3 linked regions of the Lepisosteus oculatus genome follow. The protein of the gene in region 3 interacts with the protein of the main gene of each other region in a pairwise test. Links are inferred from orthologs where the notes say so. Each region holds a gene or a part of one and is shown on either strand. Other genes may lie near its edges. The genes, in order: tchp, cwf19l2 and nab2.

What was found.
Region 1: the proteins of nab2 (region 3) and tchp interact in binary tests that used the Homo sapiens proteins (3 or more experiments, as listed by UniProt). The two-hybrid records come from large-scale screens. The link is inferred for Lepisosteus oculatus from reciprocal best matches to the Homo sapiens genes NAB2 and TCHP.
Region 2: the proteins of nab2 (region 3) and cwf19l2 interact in binary tests that used the Homo sapiens proteins (3 or more experiments, as listed by UniProt). The two-hybrid records come from large-scale screens. The link is inferred for Lepisosteus oculatus from reciprocal best matches to the Homo sapiens genes NAB2 and CWF19L2.

The regions. Positions count from the first base shown.
Region 1 is NC_090717.1:5,755,753-5,763,255, reverse strand, and holds the start of tchp (trichoplein keratin filament-binding protein), read left to right. Parts: upstream 1-4,439; 5' UTR 4,440-4,590; intron 4,591-5,067; 5' UTR 5,068-5,080; coding exon 5,081-5,271; intron 5,272-5,885; coding exon 5,886-6,096; intron 6,097-6,349; coding exon 6,350-6,406; intron 6,407-7,025; coding exon 7,026-7,094; intron 7,095-7,503. Other genes in the region: gltpa (glycolipid transfer protein), read right to left, coding at 2,811-2,913. UniProt on the Homo sapiens protein: Tumor suppressor which has the ability to inhibit cell growth and be pro-apoptotic during cell stress. Inhibits cell growth in bladder and prostate cancer cells by a down-regulation of HSPB1 by inhibiting its phosphorylation.
Region 2 is NC_090700.1:10,208,492-10,215,987, reverse strand, and holds the start of cwf19l2 (CWF19-like protein 2), read right to left. Parts: upstream 3,078-7,496; 5' UTR 3,044-3,077; coding exon 2,951-3,043; intron 1-2,950. Other genes in the region: alkbh8 (alkylated DNA repair protein alkB homolog 8), read right to left, coding at 4,463-4,996, 5,731-5,880, 7,411-7,496.
Region 3 is NC_090696.1:15,542,925-15,550,588, forward strand, and holds the start of nab2 (NGFI-A-binding protein 2), read left to right. Parts: upstream 1-4,599; 5' UTR 4,600-4,809; coding exon 4,810-4,812; intron 4,813-5,980; coding exon 5,981-6,145; intron 6,146-6,515; exon of another isoform or gene 6,516-7,579; coding exon of another isoform or gene 7,580-7,664. UniProt on the Homo sapiens protein: Acts as a transcriptional repressor for zinc finger transcription factors EGR1 and EGR2. Isoform 2 lacks repression ability.

The sequences.
Region 1 (7,503 bases), on a different chromosome or scaffold from region 3:
CTGCTTAAGAAGGGCACATCCATTCCAGGCAAAAATGGCCTCTGGATGCCTAAAAGATTAAGGCATGTTAAAGGCGATGTCTCACAGTATAAAGCTGCTATAGGGAATCTGTGGCTCACGGGAAATGTTGTGATTGGCTTCGAATAGGTTTGCAATGTCACTGCCCCTCATTGAGAGCCGAAAAATCATTTCAGCCTTCACATTTCAGTGGTTACCACTGAGGAAAGGCTGTGTGGAAGTACAGAATGGATATGTGTGACTGTGTTGTGAATCAGAATGAGGACAGACGTTTATTTTCGAATTTTACCTCCTCGGGATGTCTCCAATTGAAACGTCTAGTTGTAACGTCAGGTGCCTGATTTTGTATTCTCACTAAGATCAGGGTGATGCTCAGAGAAACAAAAGTCCGTATTAGGAGCTTTTAAGAGGATTGTAGAAAGAGCGTTCTAGGACAGCATCCTTGAACAATCTTTGTAATATGAACAGCATGTGGGAAAAAAGCAGATTAATCTGCTTTAGAGGTTATGTAAAAGAACTGTCCCTACCACCCAGTAAAAGCCACTCACTGTAGGAGTTAGGTCAGGAAACATGAAGCATTTGCCTTCCTTTTTACAGCAGATTGTATGTCCAAATCTGCTGAAATAATTTCTGTAAGGTTTGTATACAATATTTTCCAGCTTAAAGCCAATACATTGGTGGTATGTTTGACCTTGATGGAAATCTGTCTGCGTTGTGAAATCTGTCTGGTTATTTAAAGTGGCACCGGGCACCAGGTAGAGATTAAACTACTGCTGTTGGTTTCAAATGCACACATACACTCAGCAGGAGATAAGTCACTGAGAAAGTGTTTTGGAAAAGCACTGGAGTCTTTGGGACATGAGATATTCTATGTACAGTAGTATATAATGCAGCATCAATGCTTAATAGGAGTCAGTCTCCAATTTCCATTCCTTTGTTCTGTTTCGTCTAACAAGAGTATGCTGTAAAGACAATACGCCCCTCACCATTTTATGTATATTGGGGACCCACACACACAAAGAAAACAATGCAATCACACATTAAAATATCGATTACCAACCTTGAAAGACCAGTCTTCAAATGGTAACAAAATGAAACAAAGGACAGTTAAACAGGTAAAACAAAGCATACATCAGATAACTGAGGTACGCCCCTCCTTACAGACCCATCTCCCGTCAGGGAGACCCCTGTGCTACAATCACAATGCCCGTGTCTGCTCATCACTTCAGAACATAACAGGAAATCAGGCAATGATGGGTTTTATACACTCCAAGAGTATACTACATTCACATTCCAGTTGATTAGAGCTGCCTAGTCATTAAAAATGGAAAGTGCTGCTCTGTGCCTTTTACTATATTGTGGCCTTAAAATAAAATCTGTTCTCCATTTAAAGTAAGGCATAGGTGTGTTTAATATGTTGCAAATATCAGAACCTTCAGTCACTTACCCCAGAGTCAATGACTTCCCTAACCCCACCAGGTCTATACAGAACTTAAGTCTTTAAACTGTATTTTATAGATGAAGTGTAGATAAGTGTAGCTATCAAAACAGAATGAGTGTCTATCCAACAACGAGCAGGATAAAACGATTTTGTTATTTTTTTATACACAACATGAGAAGGGACTTTTGAGCTACCCCGTTACAGAATGTGTTCCTTTATAAAGCAGTCGTTAGTCTGTTGAATAACAGTAATTAAACGAGTACTTGTTCATTCTGGGTCAACCCATCGTAGTGAAGCGTGGGATTACTATCAGGCTGTAAATATAGATTAGACAAGCAGTGCGCTTCTCACGTTTAAAGGCAGCATCTTATGTTTACAGCCCGGGATCCAGATACCACCAGGCTCAGGCTATCAGGTTCTTCATTTGGATGTTGAAGCCGGAGAAAGTGAAGAAGATTAAGCAAAGATAAGCGGCAGTTCTATGTTATCGAGACCCTGTAATCTGTTCAATTTCTCTTAAATAAATGTAGGTTTAAATTTCCTCTGCAGTTCTAGGTAGTAAAACCGTTCATGCAGTTGATTTAAAATGCCATTGGACAATTAATAGGAAATACTAATTAATCGAATAATTAATTAGTTACTAACTGCTGATTATTTGGCATTAACAACAATATATGCCAAGCAGCCAAAACGATAAATATACCTCAAGCAGCGCGGCTGTTATGTCTCTTACGATTGTACTGTATTCAAAGAAGAAACGATGTTGCGGTGTAGTGCAGTTCTGCACGTTTTCAGCGGAGTTTCATTTATTGCAATTCTGGTAATCATTGCGTACAGGGCAAGCAGCACTCTGAAACCTCTTTTTTTTTTCTTAACACATGCAGAGCACAAATCTCAAACACGGAACATCACTGAATCTTACAGTAAGCTTCGCCTCCGACCAAGCATTCATCTTGAAGTTACCGAGGCAAAGTTAGACTAAACTTCACGGAGCAGCTGAATGAAAATATTTAACTTCCGATCGTTTAAAAAATGCTACTATTAAGCACTGATATAACAGACCACAACGTAGCGATAAAACTCTTTGTTTACCTGACCGTGGTCAGATTAAATCTTATAAAGAAGCTGGAGCATTAAAACACATTTCCAAAGTGCGTGCATAAAGTGAAGAGACTTCAAGGTGATTTAAAAAAATGGATAATACGACTTCAAGCGATTTAGATCCTTATGTGGAAACACAAAGATAACACTACAACACACCCCGAGATCGCTTTGTTTACAGAAAGGAATGGCATCCGTTGCTAAAAAGGTGATTTGTCCTCCCTGCCCAGGTGAATTTAAAGAAACTTACCGAAGAAAGACGGAAGGTACGACACCGACTCCAAAAACGATCTGGTATCCACTTGCTTATCGGCTGGAAGCTGTTTAAACTGATGCTCCGCTAGAAGAGCCATGGTGCGCGACTGTCACGGCAAAACCGTAATTTAAAACTCGTCAATCGAGGGGGAAATAAAGCTTCAAAAACAGAAACCCGGAACTGTCAGAGAGAGCGCTTGTGTGGTGGAGTAGAGGAGCGACTGAACTGACAGCTCGGGGGGCCGCACAGCGAGCGAGTGGCTCCAGCTGGATTTTCGGATTAGCCTATCAGGTGCAAGGTGGGCGGGACAACACCAGCCAATACCGAAAAGAAACTCCCAGAGCCGTGCGGCACAGACCTACCTGGAACCTTCTGTACCTACAGTACTCGTTGAACTGTGGTCCTTGAGTTTAAACATGGTTCCAAAAAGGAAAACAAAAATTGAGACAGTACAGGGCTCACATCAGGCATGTTGTATCATATTGAATGTCCGGAGGATTTGATTCGTGTGAAGAAAAGGTTTTTACAAGTGTAGATGTACATAATCTCCCCTTTCGCTTTATGGTTTTAGATGAGAGATTTCTATCTAAACGTTTCCTCTGTAAAAGACAAAGAAAGAAACAAATAGATAAGCGAGTAAATAAATTATAAAACGATATATTTTTTTGTTTGCTACATGGTCAAAACGTTGAATTATAAAAATGCCAAAAATAATTAAGCAGCTCTTCAAAAATATGTCGTGATGATTCAATATCTGATAAATCAATCACTATATATACAGTATGTTTAATAATGGGTACTTTTCAAGTCTTATTTGCATTATTTGTATTATTTGCGTTAAAGATATATGCGACACTTAAATGTACTAAAGCAGAACATTGCAAGGGATCAATAATTCAGAGGACCCAACTCCTCACATTCTAAACTTGTGAAAGGGCTTTTCTTTTAATTTATTTATATCCTCTTTACCCTTTAACTGACAATTTCGATATCTGACAACACTTCTAGGGTATAATTAGCCATGGTTATCTGTTCATCATGAAACATTCATAGCTGCTCTATATTTAATGCGGGGCAGACAATGAAATTGAACGAAGCATATTTAATCTTTGTCTCCTACATTCACCAGACAGGTATATCCTATATTGTTGTGATTTACAGTGACTGGTGAATGACTGGTGACGTAAATTTCTACTTTCTTTCTAATTTAAAATTAAATAAAACGCGAAGCTATTATAGGAGCAAACCACGCACACTAAATACTAAATGTTGGATGCTCTATTTAAAAAAAATTAACATTTCAAAGCAAGCAAGTCATAAAACAGTGGGTTTTTAGGTGCTATCTTTGGCATTTCAAGACAAAGTTCAGCTAAACATGTGCCTAAAACGCGTTTCTCTGAGAATTTCTAGCGAGACAAAATGTAGAGTTGCCACCAACCCAGAAAAGTCCATTATATCTGCCATTTCATGCAATTTGTTTGAACAATTATTGTGATCAGCCTTTAAGTGCAGATTCAACGCAGGCTATGGACATCCAGAATGTCGGTTTCGAAACATTAGTTAAGAACACGGGAAACGTCTAAGCATGTGCTTTGTCCCTTACGGCATCCGTAGTGTAACCAGGAAGTTAAACCGGTTACCAAGTGAAACAGGAAATAGCCGAAAGGAACTGTCGCCAACTGAAATTTCTGAAATTTGAAGTTGGAACAAGCTTCCACTTGGAATAAAGCCTACCTTACTGCGTTATTGAAAACGTGATAATCATATTTCTACAGTGAGTATTTGCCTCTTAGACGAATTGTCCCCTTTTGCATGAACTACAAATTCGCATTATATTGATTTCGAGTGCTTATGAAACCAGATGTTTAAACCAAGTCAATATGTCTCACATGAACATTACAATAGTACATCGCGATGTATGTTAGTTTAAAATCGCAGGGGATAAGAACAGTACGATACCACTGTTAAACATAACGCGTAACATCTAAACATTTATCTATGCAATATTGTTGAATACTTGCTTATTTGTGTACGGTAACGCATTTAATAATGTAGAAGTCTAAAGGTGAATGAGTTGTTATTGTCATTTTTAGTGCAAGGAAACTAGGAATACCCATTGTAAAGTTTAATAATGGTAATAAGGGTGTAGAATATAATCATCTGTGGTCCTGTGACATTCTGTTTTAGTATTGATTGATGTTTGAAAGGAAAGGGTTCCTACATTACAATGAACGTTTGTTTTTTTTTTAAGGTGCAGGAAACAGATGGCTCTTCCCACCCTCTCGATGCGCTGTCCGAGCCGCTCTCGAGTTCTGGAGCAGCAGATCGTGCGACAGCGGGAGCAGGAGGCTCGCTTCCGGCAGCAGTGGGAGCTGCACTCGCAGTATTTCAAACAGAACAACGTGCGGAGCAGCAAGCAAGCCCAGTGGAGCTCCCGACAGTCTTACCACCAGAGGTGATTCAGCAAACCTCTTTCAACAATGTGTTTTATTAACCTCAATGTGCTGGACAACGATGAATCGTTGATTTTGCTTTTTGTTTACACGCGCTTTGCTTGGCAAAGTGCTTTGGGATGTTCAGTATGTGGTGTTTGAGACCCATCGAGGATAATTTGCTGGGATGGAATTAGATCACTCTTATAAAACAGTCATTCCCTTCTACAGGCGTTCAATCCTTTTTAGAACTAAGATAAAAAATAGGAAAAACGTTATTTTCATATATACCCGTTGCAATAAAGCAAGATTCCTTGATTCTTGCCTTGATCTTTAAAAAAGAGCGTGAGAAAGGTTACAAGTTAGAGGAGGACATGCAGCACAACTAGCTCATGTAGCTGTTTATAACTCATAGATCCGAGGGTTTCATCCAGCAATTTCGTGAACAATGTCAGGGTATCGCGCTTAACAACATGGTTGGGCAGCTTATTCCGTAAAGTTATGTGGAGAAAAAAAAGGACTCCTGTGTTCAGTTTTAAAAGTGCTTTCATATTCCACTGGTCTACTAATAATTCTTAGCCTTGTGAACTGCTGAGTTTTCCCATTTAAGTATTGGCAGCCTCTCTCCTGTTGCCAGCATGACAGCCTACCATCAGGAGAAAGTGAAGGAGGAGAAGAAGAGGAGTCTGGAGCAGCGCAGGGCCCGTCTCCGAGCCTTCCTGCAGGAGGAGAGGGACCAGCTGGAGGCTGAGCTCAGAGAACTGGTCCCCGACAGAGAGACGCTGGCCAAACAGATGACAGAGAGGATGGAGGGGCTCAGGACATCCAGGGAAGAGCGGAGAAAGAAGGTACAAGCAGTGCTCACGTTACAGAAACCAGTTCCTGTAGTTTGAAGTAAGCAGGGAAATATTTCAGCCTGATCCAGCCCTGACATAATCAATCGTGTTATTGTGGGATTCGTGCGAAAGATAAAGGTTCAGGGTGAGACAGAACAAAGACAGCTGGTGCCAAGCTATGACTGGGAGAAAACAGTGGCCTGATCATCGAGTTAGCTGCATTCTTGTTGGCAATCCTTAATGCAGTTTTTGATTTTGGTCACAGGTGGCAGAGGAGCTGTTGCAGGAGCATTGGAAGAGAAATAATTCAGATTTACGTCAGGTACAGTTTGTTTTTCTATGCTTTATGTGGTAAAAGCATGGTCTGAAAGTTTATTTGCAAACATCACTTTGTTATTTACTTGTATTTTGAGGTACATGCAGAAGGCATCCAGTTATATGAAATTTGTTCATCTCTAGTATTTCTGTATCCTACGTGTTACATTCTGAAAGGTAGGGTACTCTTACTAACTGCAATGAATCTTAAGGATCAGTTTTTAAAATGTTAATGTTGTTCTGAGTCCTTGAAATACAGCAAAATTAAAGAGAACCACATGGTGTGAAAGTGTGAGGAGAAGTGCGTCAAGGTGTTGACTTGATCCTGAAACTAATAGGCCATTGACATCATTGTTCCATGACAGTGTGTAATCCTGACCCTAGGATTGAGTTCCTGTCCCATAATGATAAATTATTTCTTCAGAGACCTGCTACCTGCAGCAGGGGATTTTGCAGAATCAATTGAAGCCTAAGAGACTGTTTTTTTTAATTTAAATAGACATATATACAGCTTAATATGCAATTGTTTTGACATAAAAGTTTTATCTGACTTTCTGTCTTCTTAGTGTTAGGTGTTAAAGTTAGGAAAGAAATCCTTAACGTCCCCTTATACTTTTATATTCTAGGTTGAATCAGCATTGCACAAGGACCATGTAGTGAACAGCTGGCAGGTGCAAACGAGAGAAAAAAAACAGGTACCTGCACCATCACCATTAATTAACATTTGCCCCTATGCCTTATTGAGAGGCATAGGGTAATCTAATACCAGTTCTTGCTTAACTTTGCAGAAAAGCAAAATGCACTGGCACCTAACATTTGAAATGAATGTTCTTTCAATATCTCCTGTTAACAATTATGCTTTTACTGAAGTCTGAGTAAATGTATCATGAAGTTAGATGTCATTTGAAGAATGCCATGGCCCCTCATACATCTCCCTGGTGGTCAGGCAGTATGACTTGGGTTAATTGTACATATCGCTGTGTGACACTCCATTGTAATACATCCTGTGAAACTCAGGCTGAGTCTAAGAGCCACAGGTCTCTGGCCACTGACCTTTTATTCTCACCTAACCTAGGGCTAAATGCCGGGCTGGAGCAGTACCTG
Region 2 (7,496 bases), on a different chromosome or scaffold from region 3:
CAGACTCAATATGCGCAGAAAAAAATACACTGAAAATTCCTGGTGGATCTCATCTTTTGTAACAGAGCCAAATAAAATGATCTGCTTTATTTATTTAAATTTAATATTTTAATGTCTTGCATCTACTTGATAGATAATGATAAGAATACTTACTCTAACAGCTTTCCACCTGAAAATCAACCTTTCCTTGTACTTCATGGTTACTGACAGAATTATCTTGTTAAAGAGTGTTTCCTTTTGAGACATACATATGACATAATGTAACAAATGCAGTAATCAGGAGTGTAACGCAGCTCCTGAGGCAGGGCCTATGGAAATGTCTAACACTTAGTGACACATTTTTAAGTGCTCACACAGAAGAGTGGGACATCATACAGCTAAAGATAAAGATAAACATCAGATAAAGATCCAATACATGCAGACAAAGAGGCACTCCAATGCCTCTGGAAATGAAGATGCTGCGATGGACCCTCGGCTGTAGAAGACTAGACCATGTCATGAATGAAGGGGCGCGATAAACACTCACTGAGAAAATGAGGGAATCGCGCCTGCGACGGTATGGACACGTGCTCTGCAGCAATGACACATCAATGGCAAAGACCGCCCTCGAATTGAATGCGGAAGGCCGCCGGCCTCATGGACAACCTTAACGCGCTGGCTGGACTGGCTGAAAGACGACATGGGCCTCGCAAAAGTCTCCTGCCGAGACGCCGCAGACCGTACGAAGTGGAAAAATCGGTGCAAACAAGCAGACCCCACATAAGTGGGAAAATGTGAGGAAGAAGAAGAAGAATACATGCAGACAAAGATTACATACTTTTGACTCACCTGGGTGACATGCGGCAGCCATCTCACACCAGCAGCCCCACTACACCGATCAGACATAGCAGTGAGAAATTGTTCAAGACTGAATTAAGAACTTTAGGTAGGCCAGACTGGACAGACCCATAGCAGAACTTAGTCAGGAACCAGGAATCAACATCCCTTCTCAAACAGCACTGTGGCACCTTTAATGGTCAAGTAGTTTTGTAACAGAGCCAAATAAATTGATCTGCTTTATTCAGGGTTTAAGGTTTAGGGTCTCATTCAGAAAATAACACCTCCTGCAGCATGGTGGAGGACTCCATACTGCAGCATTGATCAAGAAACTTTGGAAAGGGAAGAGCACCACCTACTGGTCCACCAACCAAGCTACTGCTGTGAATGCTGTTTTCTCATTTTATACGGACCAGACCAAGACCTGTATTCTGAGATCTGTTGAGATAAGGTAACTCGGCCCAACTATAAAAGGTAATTTAATTAAAAAGCCACTCGCCAAGAAACGTGGTAATTTACCTTAACAAATACCGTATTTTCCAATAAGGTTTATTTAAAAAAAACGATTTTTCTTATTAAATTGATTGTTTCTTTGTTACCACCAAATCAGACATGTGGTCAAACGTCAGAAAGGTTCAGGCAATTCACCTTGTCATTCAAACAAGCAACAGGTCTTTGAAACTCTAGTTCTGCATATACTGTACGAACTTGCTAGCATACCTTAAATTGTTATGGTATTTGCATAACACATTAACATTCTTAAAGCTTTAATTTTCGTCCAAGAAGCTTATGTTCCTAGGCGTCTGCAAAGCACTAGGGAAAAAAAAAACCTCGCCTTTGAATTTGCACCATGCCGAATGCAAATTATTAAGTATTGATCATGATTTGAGAAGACGGGGGGAAAAGTAAAGCTCAACACGTCAGATAGAAGCAAAGGATTTCAACACACTGTTCTGAGGCATGGTTTATTCAAAAACCAAGGCTTGTTTTGCCTTTGCTTCTGAGCTACAGGCGGTGTTTGGACAAACTGCTGACGCACAAATAGGCTTCTGCGCATCTTTTCCTTCCTGCAGCGGCGCGTAATGCGTCTTATCACCAGCGTTCAGCATTTGGTTTTGGACTCTCCAGCCAAGTAATTAAAGTGACTGATGACAGCAAGGCAGTTGTGCTGATAAGGTTTATGATACTTATTTTTGTTCAGCATATGCGATACAAATTTTCATTACAAGAGCCCACGAAAGAAGGAAACCGTTCCACCTCGCATAGCGCAGTTGAACATTCCTTAAGATAAATTATCGGGTGCAATGTTGCTATACCTATTATCACGCCGTTACAATGCCTAAATAATTCAAGTTTCTATTTTTAATTTTATCTTCTGTGTAAGACTAATAACTATCCAAAACTGGCGCATACATTGATTTTAATGTAGAATAGTAATACCCTAAACTTCCTGAAGAACTAAAGGAGATGCTTTCAGTATCTGCTTCGGTGCCAAGGACAGAATAAATAATGAATTCGCTCACAATAATTTATTTAAAACGTCTGAATAGTTCCTTTCCAGAAAATATGGAAAAGAAAATTACCCTAAGAGACATGTACATAAGCTACAGACGACATCGTTCACTGCAGGTGCGATATCTCCACCTTGTGGTTTCGCTGTTATATGACGCGAGTAAAAAATCAATTTCCCTCTGCCCCGCACATACAAGAGCTAGTTATATAGTATAACGTGCCAGAGGAAATTGGTGATAAAAAGAACTAGGAACCGCTACACCAGTTTATAGTTCAGCTAATATGACTCATCAAGAACTTTGTCTGACAAGAAGTTACCAATTAAATACAGTACAACAGGCAACAGAAGTGCAGAAATGACATTACTGATAGTTGTCTTGAAATATTCCATATCCCGTTTCTTTCAAAGCATAAAATCACTTCCTCGAAACTGCATATACTCTATAATCCTTATTTGCTTACGCGTACGTGTAAAGATTTTAAGTATTTCAGTATTAACGATTATTCAGTAAATACGGCAAGAGTATTCATATTAAGCACAGATGTATAAGTTCCCACCCTTCTTGGAACACGGAGTAAGCAATCTTCACAAACAGTAATTTTCATCGAAACTCACACCTACCTTCTTCAGAATGTCTTCTCTTGCCTTCCTTTTCAACTCTTTCTTCTCATTGAGGCTGTTGGCACTTTCAAAACTACCACCGTACGCCGCCATGACGATGCCGCAAACCGAGCGGCCGGTTAATCCAAGGCCTTTTAAACGGTCGTAAATACATTACGACAGTTGAAGCCGCAACAGTACATAACGCACAGCTGCCCAGAAGTTATTATATACATAAAATGAAGTGGTCTGGGAAGAACCCTTTGAGCATTTTAAAATGGGTGTAAGGGAGTGTTCGCAGCAAAAATATGAAAGCGGTGCGGACGTTATTTTTATTTAATTTGTTTAATCTTTTTTCATAACTTGAATTTATGTTGTAATATGTACCCCTGACGATCTTTTTGTCTTGAGATGTTATATGTGCTCGTTTGTATTTTAATTTGTGTTATTCTGTTATGCATAAATTAAAAAAAACAGCTGCCCAGAAGTCAATCTACGGCAATAACTGTACAGTATTTGTTTTGTGATTACGTCATTGGATTTAGAAGGGTGCGATAGAAGGTGTAGCGAACATTGTTTTTATTATGCCAGAGGTCATTTTTTATTGCACTTGTGATTTTGGAATCTGTTCATACAATGGTCTTGGGTCAAAATGAAAAATCTGCCATATGACTTGATTATGTCATATGTGAAATTATAAACCTTTCAGGAAATGGGAGGTGGTGTGGACAGACCTCATGCAAAGGCTAAAGATCAGCTCGGATCGTTATTTAATAAAATCCGGAGTTGTTACTAGAAAGTCTAGCCATGTTAAAACAGTACAATTCATACACGTCATTGCTTCACTTTGTAATTGTGCACAAGAAGATCTGCTGTTAATATTCAAACAATCCTGGGCAGGTCTCTGTGCTGGGAAACATGCAGCCAAATATTCTAGTGCCAAAAATTTGTCCCAGCTTTTGATCAAAGGCCTATTACCCATTAATAATAACGCAGATGACTGGTGCAGTTTAGGACATAGTTTCACCTGAGACATCACAATAGTAAAAAAGAGTATAGTATACATTGCATTTTGAGATTTGTAAAATCAATAAAAAACTAAATACGAACTTACTGTAGAACAAATGTAAAAGCAATTAAGAAACTGCTGCTATGCGTCAATTCTACGTTTTCAAAGTACAGAACATATAAGTCTAGCAATGCATAGGGAAATGGTATTCAGCAAGCCATATTAAAATTGAGACATCAGAGGTAAAGATCTTAAGCAACTGCATATTAAAGCACAAATGCTAAGGTTTAAACTCATCAAGCTTTCAAAATAACACATCGAACCTCGGAGTCCGTAGTATGATATCCTTTCCAAAAATGGTGCTTCCTGATAAGTAAAAATCTTTTTGCAGAACTTTTATTTTCATTAAATAAAATACATTACATTGAATTACTTCATTGCATTTTGAATTACTCGATAACGGCCATCATAAAAATCACACTAAAATCTTTCTTTTTGGCTTCCTTAATATCACATTTAAAAAATCATTCACTTTTCTTCTCTAATATTACACACCAGTTCCCTTGATCATAGTAACTGGTCTGGATTGCAATGTTCTCCACTTCTCCACACAAGCTCTCCAACTCCTCTTCACAGAAGACGTGGTAATAGCGGTGAAAGATGGGGCAGATATCTGCAGATCCTAATGATTTTCCCACGTTTTTGTCCCTGGGAGCAGAGCTTTTCAGATGCCAGGGGACAAGCAGGTCCTGGGAATGGAACGCAGTTCTGTTGGTGTGAACGCTCAATGTTGACATGTTTTGCCGAGTCAAAGGACAATCTTTGACCTCCTTCCCAGCAGGCCTGTGGTTTGATGCCAAAGAGGTGCTGTGTCCTAGGTGGTCCGCTGTTTGCTCAGGTCTTTGCGCAGAGCCCTCTTCTTGATTCACCTTTTTCCCCTTCAAGTATTTGGACTTCTGCTTGTTATATTCCTGCTCCATTGCCCAAACATAAATAAGTGCCTTTCCCCCAGGCCTCAAAAGCCTCACAAGTTCTTTAATGGCAGCTAGTCTTCTCTCCTAAACATGAAACACAATTAGTAAGCTCAGTGAATAATTACATTTTTCTGCTCTGTTCTTTTTTAATAGCCAATACAAAGTAAGCCCAGGGGAGCCCTAGGTAGGGTAGGTACATTGCAGAATTGTTTAATGCAGAGTGAAGAGGTGGCAGTGTTCCACGCCCCAAACTCCAAAGTTCTCCCTAATACCTGTAACTGCAGTGGAGATTAGCCAGGTTGTATGGTTTTCCAGTGAGTATTCTAAAGCATTCTGTTGATTGAGTACTGAGTATTCTAAAATACTATAAGGTAACACCAAAACACTTTCGTGCTTCACAAGCCTGTCCATTTCAATGGCTTTAGAAGAAATAAACTTTAAAAACAGTGAATACCTTTTTATTAACTTTAAATACCTTTTTATGTCTATCCTTTTATTCCAGAGACTAAAGCTGAAGTTAGATGTAACTTTTCTCTTCAGAAAAGGTGTGGTTTGGGAAAAGATTAGATACAGTAGGCAAACTAAGGCTTCGACTTGTTTTCTTCTTGAACTGTACTGAATATCTCCTACCTAATGAAAAAATGCAGCCTACTGCTTTATCTGAGATCCTCACTGATCTTCAGCTGTTTTTGTAGCACTCTCCTGCTAGCCTTTTTTCATCAAGTGAAATTTCCTATGAAAAGAATAACTAGGAGAACCATCCAGAGCCGTTGTGTCCTGCCTGCTCTAGGTAAGAAGAACCATGAGTGTCTGCTGACCTTAGTGGAGAAGTGGTGAATGACGGCGATGGAGATACAGGCATCACAAATGCCACTGCGAAGAGGCACCTCAAGAGCATCTGACACCAGGACCTGGAAGCTCCTCTCTCCGCAGATATCCACCAGGTTCCTGCTGCGATCACAGCCCACCTGCGAAAACACAGGAGGGGGGCAGCGGGGCATCAACAGCAGCAAGGGCCAGGAGCCATGTCAGAAAGGGATGAGCAGACTGCACCCACCCCGACACAACCAGGGCCATCTCAGTCCCCATCCAGACAGCCAGTAGCCTTTATAAAAACCACCACAAAGGGGTTTCTCAAAAAGCAGCATCACACTGCGTCCCAGAAGATTCGGATCGGATCCTGTCTGCAGCCACCTCTGTGACTCTTGAACAAACAGTGACATCCTTTGAAGGTCGCTGAAAACACACGTAATGTGTCTGTGTTATGCAGAGTTTAAGTCAAGGGGTGTTATTGTGGGCCTTTCTCCGTGAGCATATCATCTTTTTATATTTTGTGGCAGTATTTTTTATTTTGACACGTAAAGTATCTTATTTACGTTTTCCAAATGCGTTTTGAGGTAACATTTGAAATATTTAAAAATGTGTTATCTCATGCATAATTCAACAATGCACCAGTTACAAGCAAAGAAAAAAAAACATTTTGGGGCACTATGAGGAGTGTACACCTTTAAAAGGTAAAGGCAATGACAATAGCTATCCCCACACATTATTCTGGCTAATTTTTAATAAGACATGATTTACACCAATAAATCAATATCTGCTTTACTGCTTGAAAGACACAGTAAAAGGCAAATAAAAACAGAAATTTACAGAGGATGCCATGTTTGGTGCTCAAATATAAAAAAAACTTATAATTTACGATAATATTTTCTTTTAAAAAGTGTCTTCCACAGTTAGGGGTTCTTTTGCACAAAAATAAAGCCTGCAGCTTGCAACATTATCTTATCCAAACAGACGAAAGGTCAAAATTATCATGGAAAGACAATTATGAGCTATGAGCTAGGGCTTTGTCACTTACAGAAATTGTGTTACACATTTTGTTCGACCTATCCTAAAAAAATGCTTTCCTCCATAGTTGTATAACAAATACATCAAACAGTACCGTTTTTAACAGCCAGTACATCATACTTTCCTTTCCAATACAGATTTTAATATAATATGGAATTGAATCAAAAAGCAAAGTGTTATATAATACACTTGGTTTTCTGCATATAAACATGATCTTATCTAAAAGACAGAATACTTAGGACATATTCAAAGCTGTAATCTTTCATCTGTTTATCTTTTTTTTTTAAAGATGTGTACTTCAGGAGCCCACTGTCTCCCTATACCATAAGGGGACGAGCAAGGACACTGCAAATAATTTGGATTATCAGAACGTTAATACTAATCAATGTGCAGATTGTAACTTTTATGCACTTACAAATGCTACTTTATATTCTTTTCTAAATGAAGATGATAGTCTTTCAGCTCAGCTCGATGGTTTGTTCCAAACGAAACCTCACGAAGTAGTAATATATATGCTTTGGCGACAATGAGGAGAACAGAGCTGGGTCAACAACCCGTGTAATTCACTCAAATCATACAGCTCGTTAACACAGAGTAGAGGGGCTTTCCGTAAAGTATCATTAAAACTGCAGATCTACGGACTGTCTTACCGCAAACAGGTCCTGTTTTAACCCCAGGTACTTTCCATTCCCACAGCCTACGTCTGCCAGGATGGCGCCAGTGGGCAGAGACTGGA
Region 3 (7,664 bases):
TTGAATTGAACACGGGAGAAGAGGAGCCCAGAAAAAAATATAAATGAACCAATAAAAGAGCAGAAGATATAATTGCAAACGAACACAATAAGTTATGTTTGCACAGTACGTCAGTTGTGTTTTTTTGTTACTTTTCATGTTTTAATGGAGTTTAAGTAATACTGCATTTCCACGTTATAATCATTAAAGAGGGGAGTCACATTAGACTATTTTGTCTCGTTTATGTGATATTTACCCACTATAAATAACCGATTCATTATAAATAGATGGGTTTTTGTCATATTACATATTGCAAGGTGTAACATAATATCAGACTCCTTGAATCCGTCATTCACACGGAAATGCTCAAAGATCAACGTTTGCGACTGACTTGGCAGCTCGAAGATGACGACTGGAGTGGCCCGTGAGCGCGCACAAACGTGCACACGCCCCTCCCCGCCACCGCCACCGGCCGAGGCCGCTCTCCTGCCCTGGGCCCCCGTGCGCGCCGCCGCTCGCACAGGGGCGCGCGGCCTGCTCCGTATGCAGAAGATCAATGATATTTCAAAAAGGCGAACGCAAAAGGGCTTTGATTAGCTCATTTCCTTCTGGCGTTTTCATAAAGCGGAGCTACGGGCTCTGTTTGCTCTTTTTTTTGTGCGTTTCTTGATTTTTTTTTCTCTCCTTCTCATTTATTTTCCGAGTCCCTGCCGCCGCATACAGTACAGGGCTCCATTCCTCTTTGTCTCTCTCCCTCCCACACGCCCGGACGTGCGGTTTCTATTTCTGCCCATTCCGGATGCCGGGCTAATGGGTTCCTTGAGGAATAGTTGCAGTCTGTGGGTGGGCGAGATCAACTGGAGCTCATGCTTGTATACCGGGAGATGGTGGGGGGGGGGGGAGCGGCTCGATACGGGGGCGGGAGGATGTGCGTCAGCTACCCAGAGAGCGAGAGAGACCGAGAGAGAGAGAGGGCGTGAACGGCGGAGGGGAAAATGGATTAGTGGGAGCAGGAAAGGACGAGAGAGAAAGAGAGGGAAGGAGCTGTTACCTCCTAGAGCCCCTGCCAGCCTGGTCAAGGCCCAGTGGTGTGTAAATAATCCTGGGAAAAACAGGGAGACGGATCCCCTTAGCACGACAACTCCATGTCTAGCCCCACCAACCTACGCCATTGCTGCTCTTTGTTGTAACCAACTCCTCCGATACAATATTGACTCCTCTGATTATCAGTTACGCAGCAGGTTGTGGCAGAACTGTGCACTGGAGCAGCCTGGAAGGGCTACAGAAGGTGTAGCTCTGGCCTACAGGAAGACGAGACCCAAGCAATCAAATTGCACTGGGGCCTTGTGACCATCCTCAGTACTGCAGACCTGAACCAATGTTGTATGACAGGCTAAGGCTGCCTGGATCTGCTGTGCTACCACCGCAGGAGCCACAGAGCACAACTGGCAACCAGTAGCTCACACTGGCCAAGTCACCACAGCATATTCCTGCATTGCAGCGCTGTCAGTCTAACGGACCGCACACATGCAAGGTTACAATCAAGAGGTCGTTCGGCTCAGCTGGCCCGTTTGGTAGTTAGTAGCTAATTGGTCCAGGGATCTCCCTGGTGGTCTAGTGGTTAGGATTTGGTGCTCTCCTTGCTGCGGACTGGGTTCGATTCCCGGTCACAGAAGCGTGTCTTTTAAGCCAGCAGCCATATCACCCTGCAGCTCACAACTGGCAGACCACTGAAGGTCAGCAGGTGTGAGCCTGGCCAGTACCTGATTAGGGGACATCTAGGGAAAAGCTAAGGTTGCTGCTGGAAGAGCTATTAGAGGGGCCAGTAGGGGGCGCTCATCCCGAGGTCTGTGTGGGTCCTAATGCTCCAGTATAGTGACGGGGATGCTATACTGTGAAAAGGTACTGTCCTTTGGATGAGACGTAAAACCGAGGTCCTGACTCTCTTTGGTCATTAAAATCCCAGAGCGTTTCTCGAAAAGAGTAGGGGTGTTACCCCAGTGTCCTGGCCAAATTTCCCATTGGCCTTTACCAATCATGGCCTCCTTAAATCCCCATCTCTGAACTGACGTCATCACTCTGTTCTCCTCCTCACTGATAGCTGATGTGTGGTGAGGGTACAGGTTCACTATTATTATACAGGTTCATTATTATTATTCACCAACCATTCCTTGAAAGAAGCCAGGGTCTCATCAACTTGGTTGAGCAGCCTGTACCACACTCCCACCACCCTTTGTGTAAAGGGTCTTAAATGTACCCCAGTGTAGGTGCACTTTTGTTTCCACCGCCTGAAAAAGGATAAAACCGAACAGCCTGGCAAGGCTCGTGGGGAGTTTTTTCCCCTTTTTACTGCTTGTCATTTCCTGGTATTTGCCTTGGGCTTGCTTCATCACTATCCCTTGCACTCAGCGTGACTTTGCTGGGCTGAGTTTCTCCCAGGCTCGGCGCCTTGCTGAGGCGGACTGGTGGTCGTCGCTCCCAGCAGGGAAAGGGGCCCTTGCTTTCGGGCTGCGCCAGTGGCCAGGCCGCCCCCTGCAACCAGAGGAAGGACGTGCAGGCATCTCCGGCTCCCCCACAGACGAGCCGATTGTGCCCCAGAGGACAATGAGTCTGCTGTCCCGGCAGAGGTGCTGAACAAGCCCTGCAGTGTGAGGCTGCCCCCACATGCCCCTGGGGCTGCCTGCGCATCCCAGCCAGAGGGGCCGGGAGCAGTCCAAACGAGCCTGAGTGGCCTCATTGTGTGATACGTATTGTCCCCCGAAATCTCTGCACTGGGACCTGCTCCTAGTCCGGGCTGCATTAAGGGGAAGCCGGAGCGAATTTCGTATTGCTCAGTACTCTGAAGCCCATTCGCAGAGGGGAACATCAGACCCTGAAAACTGCCCCCTTGTTCTTGCTCCTATAATACGACTGCTTGCTATCCGTTCCTACGGTGTCTCTCCAGAACGGATCCCTGCATGGCCCGATCAAGAAATCATGGTTAGGTCGCCTACTTTGCCCAGACATGTGAGGCTTGTCCCAGCTTCACTACCCCATCGCAGCCCGGCTGTGGAAGCAGTCTTCCTTCATCACAGTTTCAAACACGTAATCTGGCTTTTCAGCTGAAAAAGATGACAAATAGACATTGCAAGGAGGCAAGATACAAAAGACAGAAAAACATCCTCGGTCTTTACTGGATTCCTCCTAGTTACTCTTTTCAATCTTATGCACCAAGACAGCCCCTGCCTGTGCACCTCCTTGCACAAAGGCGCTCGTGCACGATCTTCTTAGGAACGGGGGTCTCAGACACAGCTCCCTGAGTGCCTAGTGTCTGCCTGGCATTCGCCGGAGTCATGAAACCGTTTGCCCGATTATTGTCTTTGTTGTACATGCGCAGGAGTTTTTGTCTTTGCCAGGTCTTTTATAGTTGATGACAACTCACTGCAAAACCCGGCTCAGCCTGTCTAGAAGGCAGTTAATTAACTAACGAGACCAGCTGGTAAGTCTGGGTGGGAAAAAAAAACAAACAGATACCAGTCCCCCTCCAGGGGGCTGTGTTCAAGACCTCGCCGTTAGAAAAGTCCAGTATTTCAGCAAATTCCACCCATTATAATTAAGACGATTGTATACCTGGCTCAGGAAATGGAGCCGATACAGGAATTATGGGATCTCCTGGGATTATGGGATCTCATCCCGAGTGGGACATTTGCCCATCACACAAGGAGACAACAACTGAGACAACAACTACCCCACCAGCATGTCTCCAGAATCTGAGAGGAAACTAGACACCTAAGAGAAAACTCACACAGACACAGCGGAACATGCAAACTTCACACAGACGGTTCCTCAGGTCGGAATCGAACCCGTTGCGCCGGCTTATATAATGAGATGTTGATATTTTGTAATGCTGGTGCTGCGAATTGACAGAAAAAAAAACATCTTAATTGTTTAATTGCTTTTAATAGGATCCACACAGTGACGCATAACGGCCTGTTGTGTAACGTCAGGGGATAAAAGAGAAGGTGGGCGATTTGCAGACGCCTTCGCTATTCACCCACTTGGACCTGCTGTCCTTCTCAAGCAACGTCATGGCGAAAACAGGAAACGAGACTGTGTTCGTTCTAGGGTGAGAAAGTCCCAAGCTAACGAAAGCCGGGTGTTCCACTGGTGCGATCACACAAGCAACCCAGCCGACCAACTACGTACACCGCGGCGGAGGTATGGGCACGCCAGACGCAGGCAGCCTGACAAGAAAACGCTGCTCTTGCATATCATACCGGCTGCAGTCGAGCGGAGAGTTTTCGAACGGTTTTATGTGAGCTGAGAATTACATCACTGGGGAATCCCCCCTTGTCAACTGCGTCACGCTTCGGATCCGTCGAACCCAGTCGGAAGTGGCCCACGCGCCTCCCCCGGACAGCCACACGCTGGCACGCTCACACACAGCCCGCTCCCGCAGAGCCGCGGTGCTGCTGATGGAGTTTTTCTGCTGTTCGTCATAAAACAAGACACACATCTATCATGTACCTTGTTTTACCAGTTTGCCAAGGTGTTTGTTGAATTATTCTAACCCAATAATAATAATAATAATAATAATAATAATAATAATAATAATACCGATGTTCACAAACGCACTCGAAACACTGTGGTTACGTAGTTCTTCACTCCTAAGCGCTATGGAGTGTGAAGTGGAGACAGCGAGACGTAGCTCTTCTGATGACAAGGAGCGAAGCTCTTTTAATACCCCGAATTTCACAGACTCCAGATGCACAACCCAAGTCATAAGAAGCAATAGATGTGTTTTACTCCCATAGATCTACAGGACTGGAGCCTTTTCGGCTGTGGGAACGGATGGTGGGTTATTATTATTATTATTATTATTATTATTATTATTATTATTATTATTGGTGATGGTGGTAATATTAATTGCATTGCTGATGTTTAATTAGCTTCTCTTGCTTTTAAGTTGCGTCATTTTTTCAGAACTTTTTTGTTCAATCAGAGGCTTGTTACTGTGTTACGGCTACTGCCGAAATGACCCGGGCGCCGTGCAGGCGGAGGGCGATGCGGACAGGGGCTGTCGCTGGGGCTCCGTGCAGAAGTCGCGGCAGTGCACTTGTGCGTGCACGACTGAGCCCGCCAGCGGCAACGCCGCTCTGTGGCGCTGGGGAGGTGTTGAAATCGACGGCAGCGGCGTGATGGGATTTGTCGACAGATCTCCGCGCCTTACTGCGTGATCCGCAGCAGTCTTTGAGCACTTGCACGGTTTGGAACGGCCTCGACACAGGGGGTGTGACTGGGTCGTTCAGGTCTCTTCAGGAGAAGAAACCCGCACTGTAGAGTTAGACGCACACACCAGACCGAAAGGAAGTTTGTAGGTGGCCGGGACCTCTCTCGCCGCAGTTGTGTTGTTGTTGGTTTTTTTTTTTAAAGAAAGGGTTAAAATGATAAAAGCTAGCATGTGAATCCCCCCACCACCCTATCCCCCCCAACTTCCACACCCCCACCCTGAAAGCCGCCTCTCTACCCGGGAGAGGAAAGCTCTTTTTCGGTCAGATGGCGCGCTGCAGTCCGCCCCCGGGTCTCTCTCACCCACACACCCTGCAAAACACTGTCTTTAACAATGCGGTCCGCCGAGAGAGGACAGTAGCCAGAGAAAACAGGCAGCCCGCAGGACAACAAAGTATCGGCAAGAGCAGAAATTAAGGGGGGAACAATAAATATTATCATAAGATAAGAAACAGGGAGAATAGGGGGGTACAAAAACCAGGCGGGCATGTTGGACCAAAGTTTCTAGAAGTTCTGCCTAAACGTTTCGATTCCTGTCTGCGCCGGGGCGGTTGAGGGGTGAACAGGGAGCAGACCAAAGCCGAGGCAGAAGACGGAGCACAACTCACCCATCGGGACTTAAGGGAGAGCAGGGGAGGGCAACGGGGGAAACTCTCCGTTTTCTCTCACTTATTTCCCCCTACACACGCTCCTCTCCCTGCGCGGTGTTTTTTTTTTGCCTTTTCCAATTCAGCGTCGGAACAGCGACGAGCGCGAAAGCGTGAGCGGGACAGCCGCGCTCCGCAGCGAGGCGAGCCGGGCAGCTGGCTGGGCGTTCCCGCCGGGAGCCGAGCCGAGGAGCGCGCCCGCGGGGCACCGTCTCTACGTGATCGCAGCCGACCGGGCGGATCCCAGAGAGGTAGGGCGATCGTCTTTGCTTACCCGGTGACCTCGGAAGGAGCGGGTGCCACAGCCGGCTGCCTTCGTGCAATTTTGGGGTGCGAGTGATCCCGTACGGCTGCGGGTGGCAACTTCTGAAACTGTAACTATTGTGAAACGTTCTGCGTCAGGGCTAGAGCAAGACACACCGGCGTAAACCCCTCTTCACAGATGCCGTTCAGCACTTACATGATCTTTCCCACCCCCAGCTTGTGCGCTTATTATTACGTTTGCAGCTGTCCGCCCGTTCGCAGATCCGCGGAATCGCGACGTTTGCGAGTCGCCGGTGTTTCAGCCGCTGTAGGCAACCATTCTGACTGCCTCCCTCCCCCCGCGAGCAGGTTGTGTTTCTGAACATACTATCCTGATCGTGTTTCCCAAGTCCTGTGCTTCGCCGCTCCTCCAGATAAGTCGCTTTTGTATTCAGACCCTTGTAAATCAAACTTTTGCTGACCGCTGTTTTCCGTCAACAGCTGCAGAAAACAGAATTCTGTACTTTCGGGGGATCTAGAAATCAGAAATTGCGAGCTGTGCTCCACGTCATACGGTACCTTTGGTATTTTTCTATCTAAACCCGCTGTCCCCCGAAGAGCGCGCACGCAGTACGCAACGATGTATTGTCGAGAGGACGAGGTTACTGTCGCAAGTAAGAAGCCCCATGGGCGCATCACAGCCAGGGGGCTCGGTGATTAGGAATATCCTGATAGCGGATCGGTTGGGTTGTTCTATTGCTCCGTGGCGAGGTACTGCCGGCCACCGTGGGCACGGCGCACCTTCTCCCGAGAAAGCGTCTCTTCTCCGAGCCAATAGACCGACGTCTCGCCAGACAGTGACCCCGATAAACCTTTATCTGCTAGAGGCGCCAAATGTCATCTCTTCTGCCTGTCTGGTCTTTCTGTGTCGGACGTGGCTGTGTCTTATCAGCATTCTTAAAAACGTGGGAAACGCAAGCATGCACTGTGTTAGATATCAGGATATCGAGGTGTTTTTGAAGAGTTGTCCCTCAACCGCTGCTGCCTTTGATATTCTCAGATTGCTCTGCTGGCGTGTTCAGTATTTAGTTTGCAGACAAGTGAGGTTCTATGCGTTTCGCTTTTCTGATTCTTTTTACTACTGTCTGCTACTGTGACAGCAGCTTAGGAAAACAAGCGGGCTGTGGCAGTGGAGTCGGCGAAGCACAAAGACGGCGTGGTTAATGGGATTTAGCTCCACGCACTTTACCCGATCTGTTTACTGGGATAAATACACGCCGCACCCCGAGTCAGTTCAGACCAGCTTCTAGCAAAATCCGAAATGGATCAAAGTGATGTGCAGTGGGAGTCTAGTGTTTCTCTGAGTAATAAACATAGTGGCAGCAACACCGCTAACAGCAATAGTGGTACTAATATGGACTTTCGGTTGTGATTGCTTCCACATGCACACGGTGCAGTCAGAACAAAGGCAGTGCCCGATCAGTGATGGTGCAGTTCTAGGTGGCTTGCATGAGTTGGGCTTGGTCA